2 linked regions of the Tribolium castaneum genome follow. The protein of the gene in region 2 purifies or fractionates together with the protein of the main gene of each other region. This does not show direct contact. Links are inferred from orthologs where the notes say so. Each region holds a gene or a part of one and is shown on either strand. Other genes may lie near its edges.

The links.
Region 1: the proteins of Mcm7 (region 2) and Cdc6 purify together in Homo sapiens (affinity purification with western blotting; 3 studies listed by BioGRID). This does not show direct contact. The link is inferred for Tribolium castaneum from reciprocal best matches to the Homo sapiens genes MCM7 and CDC6.

The regions. Positions count from the first base shown.
Region 1 is NC_087398.1:392,742-396,403, reverse strand, and holds Cdc6 (cell division control protein 6 homolog), read right to left. Parts: upstream 2,607-3,662; 5' UTR 2,420-2,606; coding exon 1,698-2,419; intron 1,516-1,697; coding exon 660-1,515; 3' UTR 572-659; downstream 1-571. Other genes in the region: RpL41 (ribosomal protein L41), read left to right, coding at 3,138-3,149, 3,413-3,478. UniProt on the Homo sapiens protein: Involved in the initiation of DNA replication. Also participates in checkpoint controls that ensure DNA replication is completed before mitosis is initiated.
Region 2 is NC_087398.1:9,870,056-9,873,981, reverse strand, and holds the start of Mcm7 (DNA replication licensing factor Mcm7), read right to left. Parts: upstream 2,341-3,926; 5' UTR 2,234-2,340; coding exon 2,203-2,233; intron 2,151-2,202; coding exon 1,781-2,150; intron 1,733-1,780; coding exon 933-1,732; intron 884-932; coding exon 672-883; intron 393-671; coding exon 1-392. Other genes in the region: PolA1 (DNA polymerase alpha catalytic subunit), read right to left, coding at 2,961-3,169, 3,219-3,926. UniProt on the Homo sapiens protein: Acts as a component of the MCM2-7 complex (MCM complex) which is the replicative helicase essential for 'once per cell cycle' DNA replication initiation and elongation in eukaryotic cells.

The sequences.
Region 1 (3,662 bases), about 9.5 Mb from region 2:
CTTTATCTTATGAATGCGTGCCTTGATAGTAGCGAATGAATTTTTAAGCAATTACAGCCCTACATAGCAATTATGAAACTATCGACGTACTTATTAAGAAATTAATAATAAAGCAATGGCATCTCTGAATATTGATCACTATACAGAGTGGCCACCCCATTAAAAATGTAAATTTCGAGCGTTCCTAACTAATGCTTGACCTAATAAAATTAAATTGTCGGTGTTTATAATTCATGACGAATTGGAATTTAAATGCGAGTGTTTGAGTTTTCTTGAGAACTTTAACAATTAAATTATTTGCCTAAAGAGGCAATTTTAGTATTTAGGAAAATGAAATATTAAATAAAATAATAGCTTTGTCTGCTTGATAATTATGCAAGAGCGATAAATAAAAAATCATCCAATAAAAGTGAATCGGGCCGAAATCGTAATTGTTTTAAACAATTTATCAATATTGGAATGCATGCATGGGATTCAAAGAAAAAGATAAGATAAAGCTAACATCAGATAAATGTTGCAATAATAGGAAAACCAAAATCTTTACCGCTTATTCGCAAATAAAACAAAACAGTTTAAAAAAAAAATTATTTTAAGAAACATTACATCGTGTTTACAATCAATAAATAAAATTCTATTCGACAGGAACAGTCTTTAAAAAATTACATTTTGCCTAAACAACTATCGTCCTGTAAAATCATGGACATCAGCTGTTTGTCCCTCAAAGTGGCACTAACTTCGCCTTCGTCCCAAACCAAGCTAACTTTGTTCATCCTAGGATCCTTCTTTTTAATAATTTTCACCATCCCTCTGGTCTCAATCAGGGAACAAAGTCCGACAAACTCGCCTTGATCAACAACTTGAATATTCCTTTTGGCACAAACCCTCCTATACACATCATGCAGTCGTCCAATCGTCACATCCTTATTTTTCGCCTTTTTCAAAATCAACAACAACGAACAAACAATAATTTTCTGTTGCAACGGGAACGAATCTTCAACTTCCTCATCCAGACTTTGCGTCGTTCCGTAGACTCTGTTCAAAACTTGAACGACTTGTCTCATATCAACACTTTCAAGCTTTTTCTCCTCCAATTCCGTTGCTAAATTTTCAACGGATTTGAGCACACATTCACCGCGTTTTTTCTTATCAGACATTTCAATTACTCGTCTCCCAATGTCTAAAGCGCGCCGAACGTCCCCCGAAATTGCGGCTACTTTACCCGCTAACATTTGTAAGGCGATTGGCGAGAATATGTCCAAAACATTGGCATTTTTCAAACGATTTGTGAATATTTCGACAATTTGTTGTTTGGTGTAAGGAGCGAAATGCATTAATTGGGGTTTTAACTCGCAACGGGCCTGCAGACGAGGAAGGATTCGGTCGGTCAAGTCTAGCGCATTTGCAATCCCTATTAGAATCAAGCGCGAGTTGGGATTTGCTGGCCATTCGAAAATTGTGTAAAGGACCGACTGTTTTTTGCTCTCTAATTGGTCGATCTCGTCAAGGACGAGCAGACTGCAGTAAAACAACTCTTATGAAATATTTCAATTTTACTAATGTTTAATACTTTACTTTATTTTAATATACTAATTTATTAATAATAAAAAAGAAGAGAGCTTAATTAGTTTTTGTAGAAAATTGTTGGCACAATTTAGAAAAAAAATTCGCAATTGAACTAAATAAAAAGTAGTACTTACATCGTCCTGTGTCCTTTTTGAAGGAACTTCTCAATCGCCCCCACGTAATCCTTCTCACTCTTCCCACTGGCCTTAATCCCTAAATCCTTGGCAATCCTCGAAAAAATCGACCCTGAGGACTTGATCGACGTACAATTAACATAAACGTGTTCAATCCCTGATGAGATTTGAGGATCCTCCAAAACCAAGTTCAACGAAGCGGTCTTGCCCGTTCCTGGGGGCCCACTTATATACAAAGTACCGGAAGTTCCTTCGTCCAAATGTTGCAAAATAAACTGTTTCAAATCCCCCAACTCCTTTTCACGACCTGGCAAATTCGTGGGACATGAACTGTGTAAAGCTCTCCTGGCATTCTGATACAAATCGTCTTCTTGAAATAACTTTTTCCGGTTTGATTTTTCGTTGGGACTCAGCAGCGACAGTCTTTCGAGCAAAATTGTGGGTGTGGATGGGGGAGTTTGTAGATTCTCATTATTTTCACTCATTTTGCGTTGTTTGGGGGGCGTCACAGTCCGATCTTCGGGGGGAGTTCTGGATTTGGTTTTGTAGGGGGTGTTTGGGGGCTTTTTGAACGGCGATTTCTCGGTCTCAGGCACATTTTCTTCTTCACTATCTGATATTATGATTGGTTTTCGGGTTCTTCGTCTAGTGTTCACTGATTCTGAAGAAGTTTGCTTCAGGTGAAGTCTTGTTGATTTTCTGGTACGTGGTTCCGGAGTCATTTTGATGAGGCACACAAATCAAAGTTCTAAAATTATGAGCAAGGGAAGCTTGCAATCACCACTTTTATGTAGTTAATGAGATAATAATGGCACTTTAATGAGGGTTAAAACAGCCACCATGTACTGACACTTGTCACTTTTCGCGCTTTTCGCGCCAACGCATACTGTAGGTCACGTGCCCAAGTAAATAAAAGCATTTGAACTAATTTGAGCAACTTTACTACGATTATTACTTAAACTTTAGTATTTTTTGTACAGTTTTGCATTTATTTCACGCATTTTTACTAGTATTTAGTGTATTTTGTATCTTTTTAATTAATTATTTAAGAATAGGTTAAATATACAGCCTGCTGAAGTAGGCTTACAATGCTCAGATGATTATCCTTATATGATTGTTTTTAATAAATTGCTTAAAGTTTTTTTAGTGTCATGTCAATAGGGTCAAAATCGTGAAAGTGGATACTCCATGTATCTTTTATAGTTGCTTTTTTAATTACAAAAACAAAATTTTACTTAGATTGCTTAAAGCTCGCGCTCCGGAAGTAGTAGTGTTCCCCTGGCGGAGTTTTCTAGAAACGTCGGCATAAACATCCCGAATTCCCCTACCGACATCCTCTTTCATTGCTATTTCTTGTTGTGTGAGGTTCACTCAAAAAATTTGCTGTTATTTTAAGAATCTTCTGGCTTTTTGAGCTAGGAATTCTTTTAACAGCTCAAAATGAGAGCGAAGGTGAGTGTTATAACAATATTATTTGTGATTTTTTCTCAAATGATGGAGAAAAAGTCGAATAATGTTAATTGATTGTTGAGACAAAAAGGCGGTTTTCCACTTTGTGATAGTATTAAAATTTATATAAGCAAAATTATTGTTAAATTATCTTGTTACGTGAACATTTTTTAAAGCAATTGTTGTGGAAATTGGCCAAATTCCAATATGACTTAATTTTGTAACCTCAGTTTGATAATCACAAATTAATTTTAATTTTTTTCCAGTGGCGTAAGAAGCGTATGCGAAGGCTAAAGCGAAAGCGCAGGAAGATGCGTGCGAGGTCTAAGTAGACTTCATGTAAGTGGTTTTAATTTCGTTAACCCCTGGTGGAAAACCCATACATTTGTTTAAGTGTGGTTAATTCACATTGGGGGCATAATAATTCACTGTTTCCACCTGTCTCGTTCACTGTTGACGTTACAGACTATGGCTGTGATACATTTTTTGGTCAACACTCAGTTGACAAATTATTTA
Region 2 (3,926 bases):
GAAGTAAAAGTCATGTCTCTAGAATTCCGGGCCACATTTCTCAACTCCACATAAGCATTAACGATGTATTCAGTCAAATCTTCGGGAATCACCGGTTCTTTCAACTTACACAGTGCGATGTATTTCCGCATAACGCCCATATCAAGCGATTTGATTTGAGTCGGGGGCTGTTTGCAGTGCTGGTGCACGTATGTGATGTGTTTGGCGAGTTTCAGATCATTATCGCGATCCGCTTTATCCTGAATCAACCAAAGGAGATCGAAACGGGATAAAAGGGCCGCCGGTAGTTGGATATTTTGCTCGATTGTCCGCTTCGGGTTGTACCGGCCATAGGCCGGGTTAGCCGCCGCCAAAATCGAGACTCTGGCGTTCAAACAAGTCATAATACCCGCCTGAAAATAACAAGCAATTTGCAATTTAAAATACACTAATAACAATAAACAATTAAATACATTTGGATTAGGCGCCATGGCATTCGGTGCTGTAACGTTGGTAGTGAAACAACTGGCGGTTCATCAAATACGCTAAATACGATTCAAAAACGATGCTGAATCTGATATTTTGTCCAAGTTTTTGGGCAAAAGTGTGAAAAACCGTCAGAATTTAAATGTGGGGCCGTAAATGTGGAATAAAATGGTGTTTTTTACGTTAACAATAAAAAATCTCACTACCTTAGCAATGCTGATTGTTTGTTGTTCCATAACTTCGTGAATGGCCGTCCTGTCCGCATCCGCCATTTTATCGAATTCGTCAATACAACAAACCCCCTGATCGGCCAAGACCAGTGCGCCCCCTTCCAGCATCATCTCCCCCGTCATGGGGTCCTTCATAACCGAGGCAGTGAGCCCCACTCCCGAAGAGCCCCGTCCTGTGGTATACTGACCTGAAACAACCCCTAAACTAACCCAATCAAATTCAAACCATTGACTCACTTCGTGGCGCTAACCGATCAATGTACCCCAAAAGTTGCGACTTGGCGACTCCGGGGTCCCCCATCAGGCAAATATTGATATTCCCCCGGATCTTCATACCGTCAGGTCTGCGGTCCACTCCCCCAACCAGCAAAAGAAGCAAAGCCTTCTTAACGTCAAGATGACCGTAGATTTCCGGCGCTAGAGACACCGCCAATTTTGTGTAAAAATCGTCTTCGGTCAAGACCGATAGTTCTTCAGGTGTGAGGGGTTTGGACGAGCTTTCATCCTCTTCGGTTTTGTTCACCAAAGCGATTCTGTGCGCCTCGACGTAAGTCTCCGACAGGAGCCCCCCCATGATTTGTTTGAAGCCGGTCTTGAGCAAAGGGAGGAACACGCCTGTGACGGCCACGTGGTGCCCCGGAAGGGCCAGGCGAGTGACTTCGCCCCGACAAAAAATAGTCAAAGTCCGGGGGATGTGCCCCACTGGGACTTGGTCACTGTGTTCCTGGATTTTGAGCTCCTGGAATTTGACGAATTTGGAGCCACGGGTTTGGAGGTATAGGCGCCCCCCTGATTTGTTCACACGGCAGTCTTCACTAGGACACATCAACACCGGCATGAAACTTAGTCCGTGGACAGGTTGGTAGGTCTCAGCCCCGCATTGGTCGCAAGTGTAGGTCGCTACGGTCATCATAGGTTTGACTTCGGTGCTTCGCGTCACTATGCCCCTAACGGTGACCAGTTTCCCAATGTGTTCGGCTTTGACTTCGCGAATTGGGACGGTTTTAGTAGTTGATAAGTCTTTGAAGTAGATTTCGCTAAAACGCCAATTTAAAGTGCCCACCCAACTGGTACTTTTAACTTACTATCTGCGTAATAATTCCGGTGGAAATTTATTACGAGCATCTCTCTGCTCGTTCGGTTGTCTCAAACGCTGCTCCATCATTAGCCTGTGTTCAATGTAAACGTCCAAAGCGTCTTTGGCCACGACTTCGCGTTCCACGAATGTGGGCAACAGTTCGAAGACAACGTCGGAGAATAAAGTCGTGTACCGACGAGTGTTGTTTATTACAGCTTTGGCTAAATCATCGTCGTGTTCGTAAAGATCGTCAAGCTCGATGTAAAGGGCTATTTGCTCGCGATGAGCCAGTTTTGTCAACTGATTCGAATATTTAAAGTTTTTCTGACCGGAATCATCTTGAATGCAAAACTCTAACAAGAAGGTTCTTATGGTCTCTAAAACATGAACCGGTAAGGTGGAAATTAACCATTTATAGACTGGACTCACCTTTATCTTTGTCGTAATCACGTCGGTTCATGATTTTTGGCGAATTTACACTACTTCAAGCCGGAATTGGAGTTTTACTAACGTTTATTTACGACCACCTGTTTGCACACAACACACGCCAGTTTTGGCGCGAAAACAGGGAAGTAGTGGGAATTTAGGTTTGTTTTGTTGGCTACACATTCACAAATTCAATTTATTCATAAATTAATAATTAATACAATAATAAGAAGTTAGAATCACAAATAAAATGGTAATTGTTACGGAGACTATAATTTAGGAGACGAAATGAGACTTTGTGAACCAAAAAATAGTACGGCAAATGAGTAAAAATGAGGCGCTTCGAGCATCAAACCGTTTCGGCGCCAAAACGATTTAAATTAACTTAAATCCAATCAATTCACTAATTAATTACATGGTGAAAATGCAAAAAAAACAAAAAACTAAAATTTTCAGACAAAAACATGAGAAAATTTAAAATTTGCCCTTCGTTCTGTATTTTTCAATACGCGTATGGTTAAAGATATACAAGAAAAAAGGCTTCACGCTTTTCAATTACTTCGGGGATTTCTTGGGAGCTAGGTCATAGATTAACTAGGTGCTGCCACAAAAAAAAGCTGGAAATGCCACCGCAGAATGACTACAAATGATTTAAAGGTAGGTTTTTTAAGCAACGAATTTTTACGCCAGATTTGTAATTTACTTAACTACGAGTACATAAATAACGCAACATTTATAATTCCAATGTACAATAATAAAAATCACTCATCTTCCAACATCAAATTAAGCAGACTTTCTTCCATCGCAAAATCTGGAATTTCCTCATCCTCCTGTTCCTTTTTCCTGTGTTCGCACCAAGCAAACATATTTTCCATCTTAACGGTCGAAAAGCCACAAAACTCGTAACGCCTTTCTACAGTTTCCTTTATTTCATGGTAAGCTTTCTCGACTTGAAGCTCCAGCGATGGCACTGAAAACAGAAAATCAATTTCGAACTCATCTCACCCTCAACCACTCACTTTTACTCAATTTAGTCAAATCGAAAATGTATTGGAAATACGTAATCTGCGTGAACAGACTCAAACCCGAATATTTCTTGATCAAGACTGAGTTACAAACTTGACAAAAGGGAACCCGTCCTGACGAGCTCAACGGAATCCTCACAGTTTCCTTGCAACACATCGGATCCTCACAGTACATTTCGTTCAAATAAAACTTCTCGATGTAGGAATTTATCGTTTCGGTCATTTGATTTTGGATAAAGGGGACGTAATCGGCCGGCCTGGCCTTACAGCGCGCATTCTGACACTTTTGTAAAACCGGAATATTGTTAGAAAATGGACCATCAACGGTGTTTTCGCTCTCACAAACCAAACATTTAAATACAAACTTGTCGACGTTCCGGAACTTTATTTCCGGATCTATTACGTTCTCTCCGTTGTCATCGTCCACCTTTACTTTTCTCAAATTGCTGCTATCGACCCCGAGACAATCGGATATTTGCACAAGGTCCAACGCTTCAATGGGTTCGCAAATGCGGCTCACCACCGGATGAATCTGATTAGCGAGGTAGTAAGTAACGTCGATTTTGAGCGTTTCTGAATTTTTCAATTCCTCAATGTGGTAAGCGCGTTGCGTGGCCGGATTTTTCGTCCCATCGTCACAGATCAGATAAGGGACGGTGTCCCCAGCCCGATAGTGCCCCCCTTGCTTGTTGTATCTGATAG